Drosophila melanogaster: one gene and its partner. Changing the gene in region 1 together with any one later gene gives a genetic interaction. Each region holds a gene or a part of one and is shown in the gene's direction. Other genes may lie near its edges.

Region 1 (5,195 bases):
CGTGGTTTGTCCCACCTGCCGGCACATGAAGACCATCCATTTGCCATCGAGGTCCGTTAGTGGATCAAGAAATTCGCTTCATCGCGAAAAGACTCCCTTTTAATGTATATAGCCATCTTTGTTTGACACTCGAAATGGTTTTGCTTGGGACTTGTGGCATCATATGCACCAAATACTTATATAGTTGATAAGAACGATACACCTAAGAGGTTTTTATAGCACACAAAGTTTCCATATTTGGTTATTTATACTGTATTTAATGTATTAATAAATAAAACACGTCCTCGAGAGGATATTAACCAAAGATTGGAGTTTTGATAAATACATATATATACCCTTACGAACCATTATCTAGTGTTATCGTATGACCAAAAATTAATCTAGTAGCTGCCTGTTACACTAAGTCAGACAGATCTAAAACCCTTATTTAAACTAAATGTATTCTCCCAAACTTCTAGAACTACGTAGCGCATTTCGGCGAGCTTTTGTAGTCGGAATGTCATCCAAACCTCAGTACACCCTAAGCGAAGTGGATGGGGATCTGTTTTCCGCCCCCAAGACCTATTCCTTGGCGCACTGTGTGGGCGCAGATCTTGCGATGGGTGCTGGAATTGCCGTGCAGTTCAAGAAGGTATTCGGAAGGTTGGACGAGCTGCAAGCCCAACAAGCGGGCAGTGGAGATATTGCGGTGCTGAAGGATGACCAGCGGTACATTTACTACCTAGTAACCAAGCCTCAGAGCTGGGGAAAGCCCACCTACGAATCTGTACAAGCATCTTTGGAGCAGATGCGTGAGCATATGGTAAATACATGCCTGATACATATCTTTTATGAATGGAATGTATCCCTGCTTTTATTTATTATATATATAAAGCTTAGACAAGTTATATTAATAAGAGCTACATTTTATTATTCCTACATTAGCGCAAAAACAACGTGAATAAGCTGGCCATCCCAAAAATTGGCTGCGGAATTGATGGCTTGGAATGGGAAAAAGTCAGCGGAGTCCTCGAGTACGTTTTTGGCCAAGAGCCGCTGGAGATTGTTGTCTACAATTTTGTGCCTCCACAGGGAAAATAATGGATCGTTTAGTTTAATATGAGCCATTTACTTCATAGCAACATAATTATAAACGACCAGCTCAACAGAATCCGCTTGAAAAACCTGGCAAATTATTTCCTTAACTTTGGGCCAGTTTAGGCCATCCAAACCGCATCCAATGCGGGGCATGGCTAGCTTGGGTACTTGGTGGGAGATCTGCAAATGGTAGAAAGATTCGTATATCATAACTTCTTATAGAAGATACATAAACATACCATGTGTTTTCGCATGGCGATCAAGGAACTCTGGAGAAGTTCGTAGGTGGGCTTTCCCCAGCTGGATTTCTTGGTGATCAGATAGTAAATAAATCGCTGCTGGTCCTGAAGGACAGCCACGCCGCCTGGCTGAACATTTTGTCTCTGCAAATTCAACAACTGTCCAAATTTGTTTCTGGAAAATAGGCAAATTTACCATTTTATTAAAAACACTAAGCCATTACCTACCGAAACTTTACAGCTATGCCTCTGCCCATTCGCAAATCGGCAGCCACGCAGTGGCACATGGAATAATCCCTTTGGCATTTGAATAGGTCGCCATTGATCTCTCTGTAAGTTAGTCCTGACATTTCCATAAAACTTTTACATTTATACTCCTCCGACTTCTTCACAAAAATTGTTTTCAATTGTGCGCTTTCTGCGTGTCCACGTTTTCCTCCGAATGGCTGCCAGCTGGTGTTTGGCAACGCGTAAGTAAACAACGATTGGCAACACTGAAGCATATACACTGCACTAAAATTAAACCCGATCAGCTGATAACAAATGAGTTTTATTTTTAAATTTATTGCCACTTTTGTACGCAAAATGCTGGAGCTGTTGCAATTTGGAGGGAAAACCCTTACGCACACGCTGAGTATTTATGTAAAAACGAACACGGGCAAAACGCTGACCGTTAATCTGGAGCCCCAGTGGGATATTAAAAACGTAAAGGAACTGGTGGCACCACAATTGGGACTTCAGCCGGATGATCTAAAGATCATATTTGCCGGTAAGGAACTAAGCGATGCCACGACAATAGAGGTAAGAAGTTTCTTTAATGTATCCGCTACATGAAGTTAACTTTTACTGTCTTCTAGTAGCAATGTGACTTGGGTCAGCAAAGCGTTTTGCATGCCATTCGTTTGCGACCGCCCGTGCAGCGCCAGAAAATCCAGTCGGCCACTTTGGAGGAGGAGGAACCTTCGCTTAGCGATGAAGCCTCCAAGCCTCTAAATGAAACTCTGTTGGACTTGCAGCTGGAAAGCGAGGAGCGTCTGAATATAACCGATGAAGGTAGGCAACAATTAGTTTTTATTGTTTTTTTTTTTTTTAACGAAACCCCTTGTAATCCCGTCGTATCCTCTCCAGAAAGAGTCCGTGCCAAAGCGCATTTCTTTGTACATTGCAGCCAATGCGATAAGCTGTGTAATGGCAAACTTCGGGTCCGCTGCGCTTTATGCAAGGGCGGCGCCTTTACTGTCCATCGTGATCCGGAGTGTTGGGATGATGTCTTGAAGTCGCGTAGAATTCCCGGTCATTGTGAAAGTCTGGAGGTGGCCTGCGTGGACAACGCGGCTGGCGATCCGCCCTTCGCTGAATTCTTCTTCAAGTGTGCTGAGCATGTCTCCGGCGGGGAGAAGGATTTTGCGGCTCCATTGAATCTAATCAAGAATAACATCAAGAATGTTCCTTGCCTGGCCTGCACGGATGTGAGGTGATTATGCAATAAGGAACATCTTAATTTCTTATAATTTTCATATCATCGAAAATGTCATAAAAAGTTCTTTTAAAGTCTTTAAAGTAATTATTTGTCATATAATTTTATTCTGCTATAATCACCTTATTATGTTCGCAGTGATACCGTGTTGGTTTTCCCCTGCGCATCGCAGCACGTCACCTGTATCGACTGCTTCCGCCATTATTGCCGTTCCCGTTTGGGCGAGCGTCAGTTTATGCCGCATCCGGACTTCGGCTACACCTTGCCCTGTCCCGCAGGCTGCGAGCACTCGTTCATCGAGGAGATTCATCACTTCAAGCTGTTGACACGCGAGGAGTACGATCGGTACCAGAGATTCGCCACCGAGGAGTATGTCCTACAGGCAGGTGGAGTACTCTGCCCCCAGCCAGGATGCGGCATGGGCCTTTTGGTGGAGCCCGATTGTCGCAAGGTGACATGCCAGAACGGCTGTGGATACGTGTTCTGCCGCAATTGTCTGCAGGGCTACCATATCGGGGAGTGTCTGCCCGAGGGGACGGGCGCCAGTGCCACAAACTCCTGCGAGTACACCGTGGACCCAAATGTGAGTTGGCTCTTATACGGCCCATTCCCGCTTGTGTAATCATGTGCTTTTTTAGCGAGCTGCCGAGGCGCGATGGGATGAGGCCAGCAATGTCACCATCAAAGTCAGCACAAAGCCCTGTCCAAAATGCAGAACCCCCACGGAGCGAGATGGTGAGTTGGGCGAGCATCGAAGACACCCAAGACGCAGTTTGTAACACATCCATACCGTCTTCTTCTCTTCCTACCAGGCGGTTGCATGCACATGGTCTGCACACGCGCTGGCTGCGGATTCGAGTGGTGCTGGGTCTGCCAGACTGAGTGGACACGCGACTGCATGGGAGCCCACTGGTTCGGCTAATCCTTCGTCATCGTTGTACGTCGGCCCGACGGGTCCTTTTTGTTTGTTGACTACTTTTAAATTGTATACCATAGTAAAGACTGCTCGAACAACACCCTGTTTGTCGTCTACGCAATCAATAGCAGAAACACCCCTGACAAGGACCAACGCGAATCACATCCTACCCCACTCTGTTCCTTTGTTGCGTGCGCACAAAAACTTTGTTTACGTTTTTTTTTAAGCTCGCCCACAAATATTTTGAGGGCTTTCCTCTTCGGCCAGGCATGCGAAAACCGCAACAAACACGTGCATTTGGCCAAACAGCCAGAGAGCGAGTGCCGCGAATGCGCAGTGGGTGGTCAGCGGCACAAGGTTCATGTGATTTCAACCCAGGCGCGTAGCCGCAAGGGGACTAATAATTGATTGGGGGATGGTAAAGGCATTTCAAAAATGTTCCTGGATTTTCAAAAGTACTAACTACTATTCTTGCTAAAGAGAGAAAACACAAAAGAGAAAATTATTAAGAAACTGAAACTTAAATTTTGGCCGTTAATACGTAAAATTAAATATTTCACTTTAATACAGTTTTATAATTCATATGTGCAACCGCCCTAGGACACATCTGTAAATCAATAGATTTTAGGCAATTATATATAGGAAACACGCATTCCCCTGAATAACTAATTTAAATTTATAAACTTCTACAAGAATTGCAATTAGTCCGCTTAGAAAAGCCGTCTTGGAAACTCGAGACGCCTGAAAGTTCACCTGCCTGGTTATCAGTCTGCCTTGCGGCTTATCGGTCATCTAAAGTTGGGCTGGCCAAATGCCACAGGTTCGCGGGACGCTCTTAAGCGGAAACATCCCTTGGCGGAGTGCACCACGAGTGTGCCAGAAAGTGTGCTATGGTTTTTCGCACGCTGGTGGAAATTCGTGGCCCGGACATCGATAAATCGAGCCTATACACAACATATACCTCATTCACACAGCGAACGTGGGAAACCCCCAAGCAGGACTCTGGCGGAAAATTTATTCCGCACCTCTCTCTCTCTTTCTGGCTCCCTGTCTCTCTGGGAATTGGCAATCTCTCGCCCATTTGGAAGTAACGCCACGTTCTAGATTCCTTTCGGTTTGCCGCTCTGTTTTGGTTGGCTTTCTGTTTTGTGCTCTAATTCGTAAGCAAAGCGAATAGTTTTCACTCTGCCATTTGGCAGAGAGCCGCGAAGAGAGATTGAGAGGAGAAGAGCAAAGTGCAGCGCATTTTCCGCCCTCGAAAATGGCGAAAAGGAAAAGCTCGCTCGCGCATGTGGGCAGGTTGCCCATCGAATCGGGTCACAAAGTTCCCAGTGCAGCAGCTTCTGTGTGTTGTTTATTCGTAGCTATTTTTTTTTTTGCCGTTTTCCGTCTGCTCCTTGCTGTGGTGCTTGTGTCTTTTGCCAGCTTTTCTTCTTCAACTTGGGGGCCTTCGGTGTATAAATGGCAGCGCGCCCACGTATCGCGT
Region 2 (5,082 bases), on another chromosome or scaffold:
AGAAGAACCAGATTCTCCTGAGGCGCCTTTTTTCCGCTACGAAGGCCGCAATTTCTGGAGACCAGAGGTGAAGGTCTCTACCGGGAGTTCTTGGGGACGTTGAAGGAGGAGGATTGGCAAACTCAGCAGCATTGTACATCTCATCCGTGAGAGTTTTGATTGCCGCATCGATGTTGCTTGGAGTGGAGAGTGGAGGATCCGGGTGCAGGGAGGACAGCATCCAGAGTGTGAACTTGGAGGCATCAGTGTGCTTCCCGGTGAGTCTTCTGGGCAACTCTTTTTTGAGGACGGGGATGTTGAGAAGCATTTTTATAGCGCTGTGGTCGGATATCAGCTTGTTATAGTTGGAGCAAGTTAGTCTGTCTTGCCCTATGCCTTTGGAGATAGCAAAATCCAGGAGGTCGGGCAGCAAGGAAGGGTTTGAAGGCCAGTGGGTAGGCTCACCAGAGGAGTGGCAATCCAGTCTTCTGCTCTGCAGGAATCTGTGGAGCGTTCTGCCTTTGGGGTTGATGGAGCGGGACCCCCACCAGGAGTGTTTGGCGTTGAAGTCACCAGCTGCTATAAAGCGAGGTCCAAAGGACTCAAAAAAATCTTGTAGGTGAGTCTCGGTGATCGAGTGTCTAGGTGGGAAGTAGACCGCTCCAACGGTGATGTCTCCATGTAGGCTGGAGATTCTGGCCAGGGCACACTGGGCCCATTCCTCCTGAAACGCAGGTAGCTCCGTGTACTGGATGCCACTCCTGATGAGCATGGCTGCTCCTCCGCGCGCTCTGCCAGATGGATGGTTGGCAGGGATGACATCGTAGCCGCTAATGCTAAAATGGGATCTGGGACAAAAGTGGGTTTCTGATACCAGTAGTACATCGATGGCATCTGTTTTTAGGAGGTGTTCCACCTCGGCTCTGCTCCTCTGCAGGCCGTTAGCATTCCAAATAACTATTTTTAGGCTTTGCATACTTTTGCGTTGAGGATGGAAGCAACAAGCTGCGTCATTTGCGAGAACATCTTCTCCATCATCCTTTCGACCATTCCTTCGAAGCGAGCAAACATTTGTTCCATGTTACTGGGTTGCGGAGATTCAGGTGGGGTTTGACGGGTTTGGTTGGGATTGGTTTGCTGAGGCACTTGGGTAGACATGAGCGCATCTCTGTAGTGACAAATAAAATGTTTTGACAACGAAGAATTTAAAGAGGTTTATAACGAGCATTGCTATATTCATAAAAATTATAATGAATAAATGGAATTCATCAATATAAACTAACAAAAGGTTTGAGCCCGAGATAAAAGAAAATTAGTATATATACAGCATGTCAAAAGCAATTATACAAAGTCAAATGTCAGCATGTTTCGAAAATAATTAACCTTTAACGTGTAATAAATAAAAAATAAATAAATAAAAATTGTATTATGATCATAGGTCAAAGTATGTAATAGCTTATTTTAACTTCATTTGTCAACAATTGTGGCTATTATATATACTTTAATTTCAAATTCAACCGCAAAGTCTTCAGTGTTGGTGAATTTGGTGAGCGTAGAGTAAAGTTTCAGCTTGTTAGCCTTTTTTAACTGTAGTAGCCTCTGGTCACACTAATCGCGTCTTTATCAAATTCGGTTATCAAATTTGTTTTGCGCCCGTTCATTCGTCTTGCGCTCATTCATTCGGTCATTCATTCGCCTTTTGAATACCGCTTCGAACGGTTGTGTCTACATCTTTGCACAACGAGTTCGAAAAATAACTAAGCTCCGCGCGAAAACAGTAGGAAATTAAAACTAGAATATTTCTGGTAAAAACATTTATCATTGGATACAATAATTTTAACACGAATCGTGAGAAGAGGAAGCAAACAATTAATACTAAAATAAAATATAAAAACGAGATCTACAACCCGCGCGTTTTTCGATTAATGAATTAAAAATAAGTGTGCGTGCTACAAGTGGAAATAAAACTCGATTTCTGGGCCCCCGACTTTTGGTTGCAACACACTTTATAACGGGAAGTGGCTCAACAAGTGGCTCGGGGATTATCTAATAAAGCCCTCCTACCGAAAATCATACTTAAATAATATAGATTATTATACGGGCAGAAAGCAACAAATAAAATATACATATATCAATTTTAAAACAACCAAAGGCCCCCATGTGTATGTGTGTAGTGTGAGCGCGTGCATATGTGTGTGAATCGAGAAACGCAGAGCAGCAGCAACAATAATAGCAACAACACTACAACGGCAACGTCAACAGCACGCAACAACAACAGCCACAACGGACGCTGTGAGTGCGACGGAGACGGCGACAGCGTGAGTCATATACAAAGTGAAATGAAAATGCGGATAAAGCGAGAAGCGCCGTGTCTTCTGTTATTTATGCCAATCCAAAATACCAACAACAACAATCGCATTGGTGGTAAGTACAAAAAGAAGCGAAAAAAAGAATCAAATCAACAGAAATAAGCAATAAGAAAAATCGTACAATTTAAGATTACACTCAAACCAATCAAAAGAGCGGGACAGGGAGAACGTATTAATCCCTCTCTCTTGCTCTCTTGATTTTTACCGCTCGGCATGCTGTTTACTTTTGCTGGGGCGCGAAAGAGAGGGGGAGCACACGTAAGCGTCTCCATTTCATTTCTACAAAAGCAAAAACAAGCAAAAAGAAACGAACTCGAGAGAGATCAGACTCAGAGTCAGTTACTTTTTTTCGCTCCATACGTGACTCACAATTCGCGTGTCTTTCAAAAATAAAAGCAAAAGAAGCGTTTCGATTCGTTTCTGTTGGCTGGATAAATGAAAAAAAAAATCAGTCAGTCCAACAAAATACGAGTACAAATAAAAAAAATAAAACAACAGAAAAAATGTAAAGCAAAGCAGGTTTCTCAAGCGGCCTGGCAACGCTGAAAAACCCGCTTTGAAACGACCTTTCGAGTACGAATTCATCGGCACAACAACAACAGAAGAAGGGAGAAGCGTGCGAAGGAGGAGGCCAAAAGGGGAGCAGAAGGAGAAAAAGCAACAGCCGCGGCAACAACTCAAAACTGAAGTTGGGAGTCGGTAAGAAAGAGCGGAAGAGCAGGAAGGGTTAGTTGCAAGGGCCAGGGGCGAAACTAAAAAGGGGTGCCCTCGTTGAGTCAAAGTTCCAAAACATTTACAGAATAGTTGAAATTTATTAAATATAATATAAGTTGAAGCATTACAATCGCTTTATAAATCACTTAAAATTAATATCATCTTAAAGTGAAAGATTTACTACCTTGTTGCCAAGTTTTTTTTAGACAATAAACAGCGAATTACTAATAACAGTAAACATAATGGCGAATCGCAACCCAAAAGTTGGACAAAATAGTGAACAGAAAGCTGATGCATAGCTCATTTCCAAAAGTAAACAAGCCACTGTATACTAATTAGCACTTTCCTATTTTCTACTCTACTTCACACCACTCCCCCCGTTTCCCACACCATAGGCCCCCTTCGAAACCCACACACTCCAGACCCAGACGCCCCTGGAGGTTTGCAATGCACTATTGGCATGCGATTTTACTTGTTTTACTAGCCGCAAACAACAACAACAGCGACAAAAAAAAAACATAACCAACGTTTCCTGCCGCGGTGAAAAGTTGGTTGTACTTTTTTTGAGGCTGTTGCTTTTTTCTGTGTTGTTTTTTGGCTTTTGAGGTCGCTTGGCTGATAACAGCAATTTTGTACCCCAGTAGTTTGCTCGAAGTTGTTTTGCTTTTCAGCATAAAAGAGACTATACTTTCTGGCAAGGCTGATAAAGTCGATTTGATCAAGTCAGCACAGTCCGAACTCCTAAGACCACTTTGAAAACATAATACAAACTGTAGCATTGGTTATCTTATCAAGTTTTTTCTTTTGACGGACGGCTGAAATGATACCCTTCAATCAAGGAACATGGCTTAAAATTAAAGTTTAGTGTAGGGGGAAAATCGTACTTGAAGTTTTTAAAAACAAATATTTACTACAAGATTAATTTTAATAATATTCGAAGAAATCAGAATGATGCTAAGAACATAAATATACCAGCATTAAAAACCCAAGATTGCCGTACTAAAAAAGTTTTCAACTATTTGTTATTGACAGCTTTTGTTCAGACTTACCTATAAATGAATAATCTGGATTGTGTTTTACTATAATATACTATCAAATTGGTATCGGGCTAGCTTACAAAGCGTTCTCTAATTATGCCTGCTCACTGTGATAAGCGACTTGTGAGCTGCGAGCGAATGTGGAAAACTTTGGCTTTGCATTCGCTCGTAATCAGGCGAAAAAGAAGAAAAAAAAACTCTAGAGCCGAAATAAATGTCTTACGTCAGTTTTGGCAGGCGGCAATCGAAACGAAATATTTTTGCGGTTTTTTTGAACGGGGAACCTGGCGCGACAAGTTTTTCGCACTGCGGTCCATACACGGTCCGTGCTGACATCATGGGTTATAAAATTAAGCAAATCGCTAACCGCCAATTAAAATCAGTTTTTAAATCACCGCATTAATGCGTATTTTCTGGTCTTCGTCTCCTTCCCTCGGCAGCCAATCAGAAGGACTATCCCAACAAGCGGTCCAGGGAGAATCTGGCATGTGACGAAGTGACATCGACGACGTCATCATCAACGGCAATGAACGGCGGCGGACGGACGCCGGCGCTAACCCGCAGCTGCTCCAGTCCGGCGGTCTACGGTAAGTGAAAGTCGGCTAAATGGGGAACCCAGCGCAAAGGTATGCGACCCGAAGACGGGTTTCAAACAATACTCTCTGTGAGTCGGTTAGAAATTTTTGGCAATTATGTGAAAAGTCGTGAATCGTCATGTATTTTGGTATGCAAGAAGTTAAAAACCTAATATTTCCACATGCAAACGTAGAGCATTGCATCTTGAAAACTGTTAGAGATATGATAAAATAATCAAATAATCAAACACTAATCACTCATAGTAGATTGCATAGATTGCAATCTAAAGCTGATCACAATAACTGTGCTAGTTAGGAAGTTACAAAGCATTGCGATCAAGAACGGAACTCAAGGGGCACCATATCGCCAGCCGATCGGGAAATCGCTCGATTGTTCTACTGTTGCAT

The links. Genes that interact genetically often act in the same process or in processes that back each other up.
Region 2: of park (region 1) and puc, changing one enhances a phenotype caused by changing the other (phenotypic enhancement), as found in Drosophila melanogaster (one study listed by BioGRID).

Annotation. Positions count from the first base shown.
Region 1 is NT_037436.4:21,193,367-21,198,561, reverse strand, and holds park (parkin), read left to right. Parts: upstream 1-1,708; 5' UTR 1,709-1,786; intron 1,787-1,792; exon of another isoform or gene 1,793-1,849; 5' UTR 1,850-1,859; coding exon 1,860-2,117; intron 2,118-2,176; coding exon 2,177-2,369; intron 2,370-2,425; exon of another isoform or gene 2,426-2,444; coding exon 2,445-2,790; intron 2,791-2,915; exon of another isoform or gene 2,916-2,931; coding exon 2,932-3,376; exon of another isoform or gene 3,377-3,431; coding exon 3,432-3,528; exon of another isoform or gene 3,529-3,605; coding exon 3,606-3,715; 3' UTR 3,716-3,808; downstream 3,809-5,195. Other genes in the region: Targ2 (terminal ADP-ribose protein glycohydrolase 2), read left to right, coding at 1-103; Targ1 (terminal ADP-ribose protein glycohydrolase 1), read left to right, coding at 437-802, 925-1,013, 1,072-1,102; Targ3 (terminal ADP-ribose protein glycohydrolase 3), read right to left, coding at 1,108-1,257, 1,317-1,491, 1,545-1,666. UniProt on the Drosophila melanogaster protein: E3 ubiquitin-protein ligase which accepts ubiquitin from E2 ubiquitin-conjugating enzymes in the form of a thioester and then directly transfers the ubiquitin to targeted substrates, such as Paris, Marf, Opa1, Miro, pnut, Septin1, Tom20 and porin.
Region 2 is NT_033777.3:8,103,693-8,108,774, forward strand, and holds the start of puc (puckered), read left to right. Parts: upstream 1-1,639; 5' UTR 1,640-2,168; coding exon 2,169-2,403; intron 2,404-2,795; exon of another isoform or gene 2,796-3,047; intron 3,048-4,539; coding exon 4,540-4,686; intron 4,687-5,082.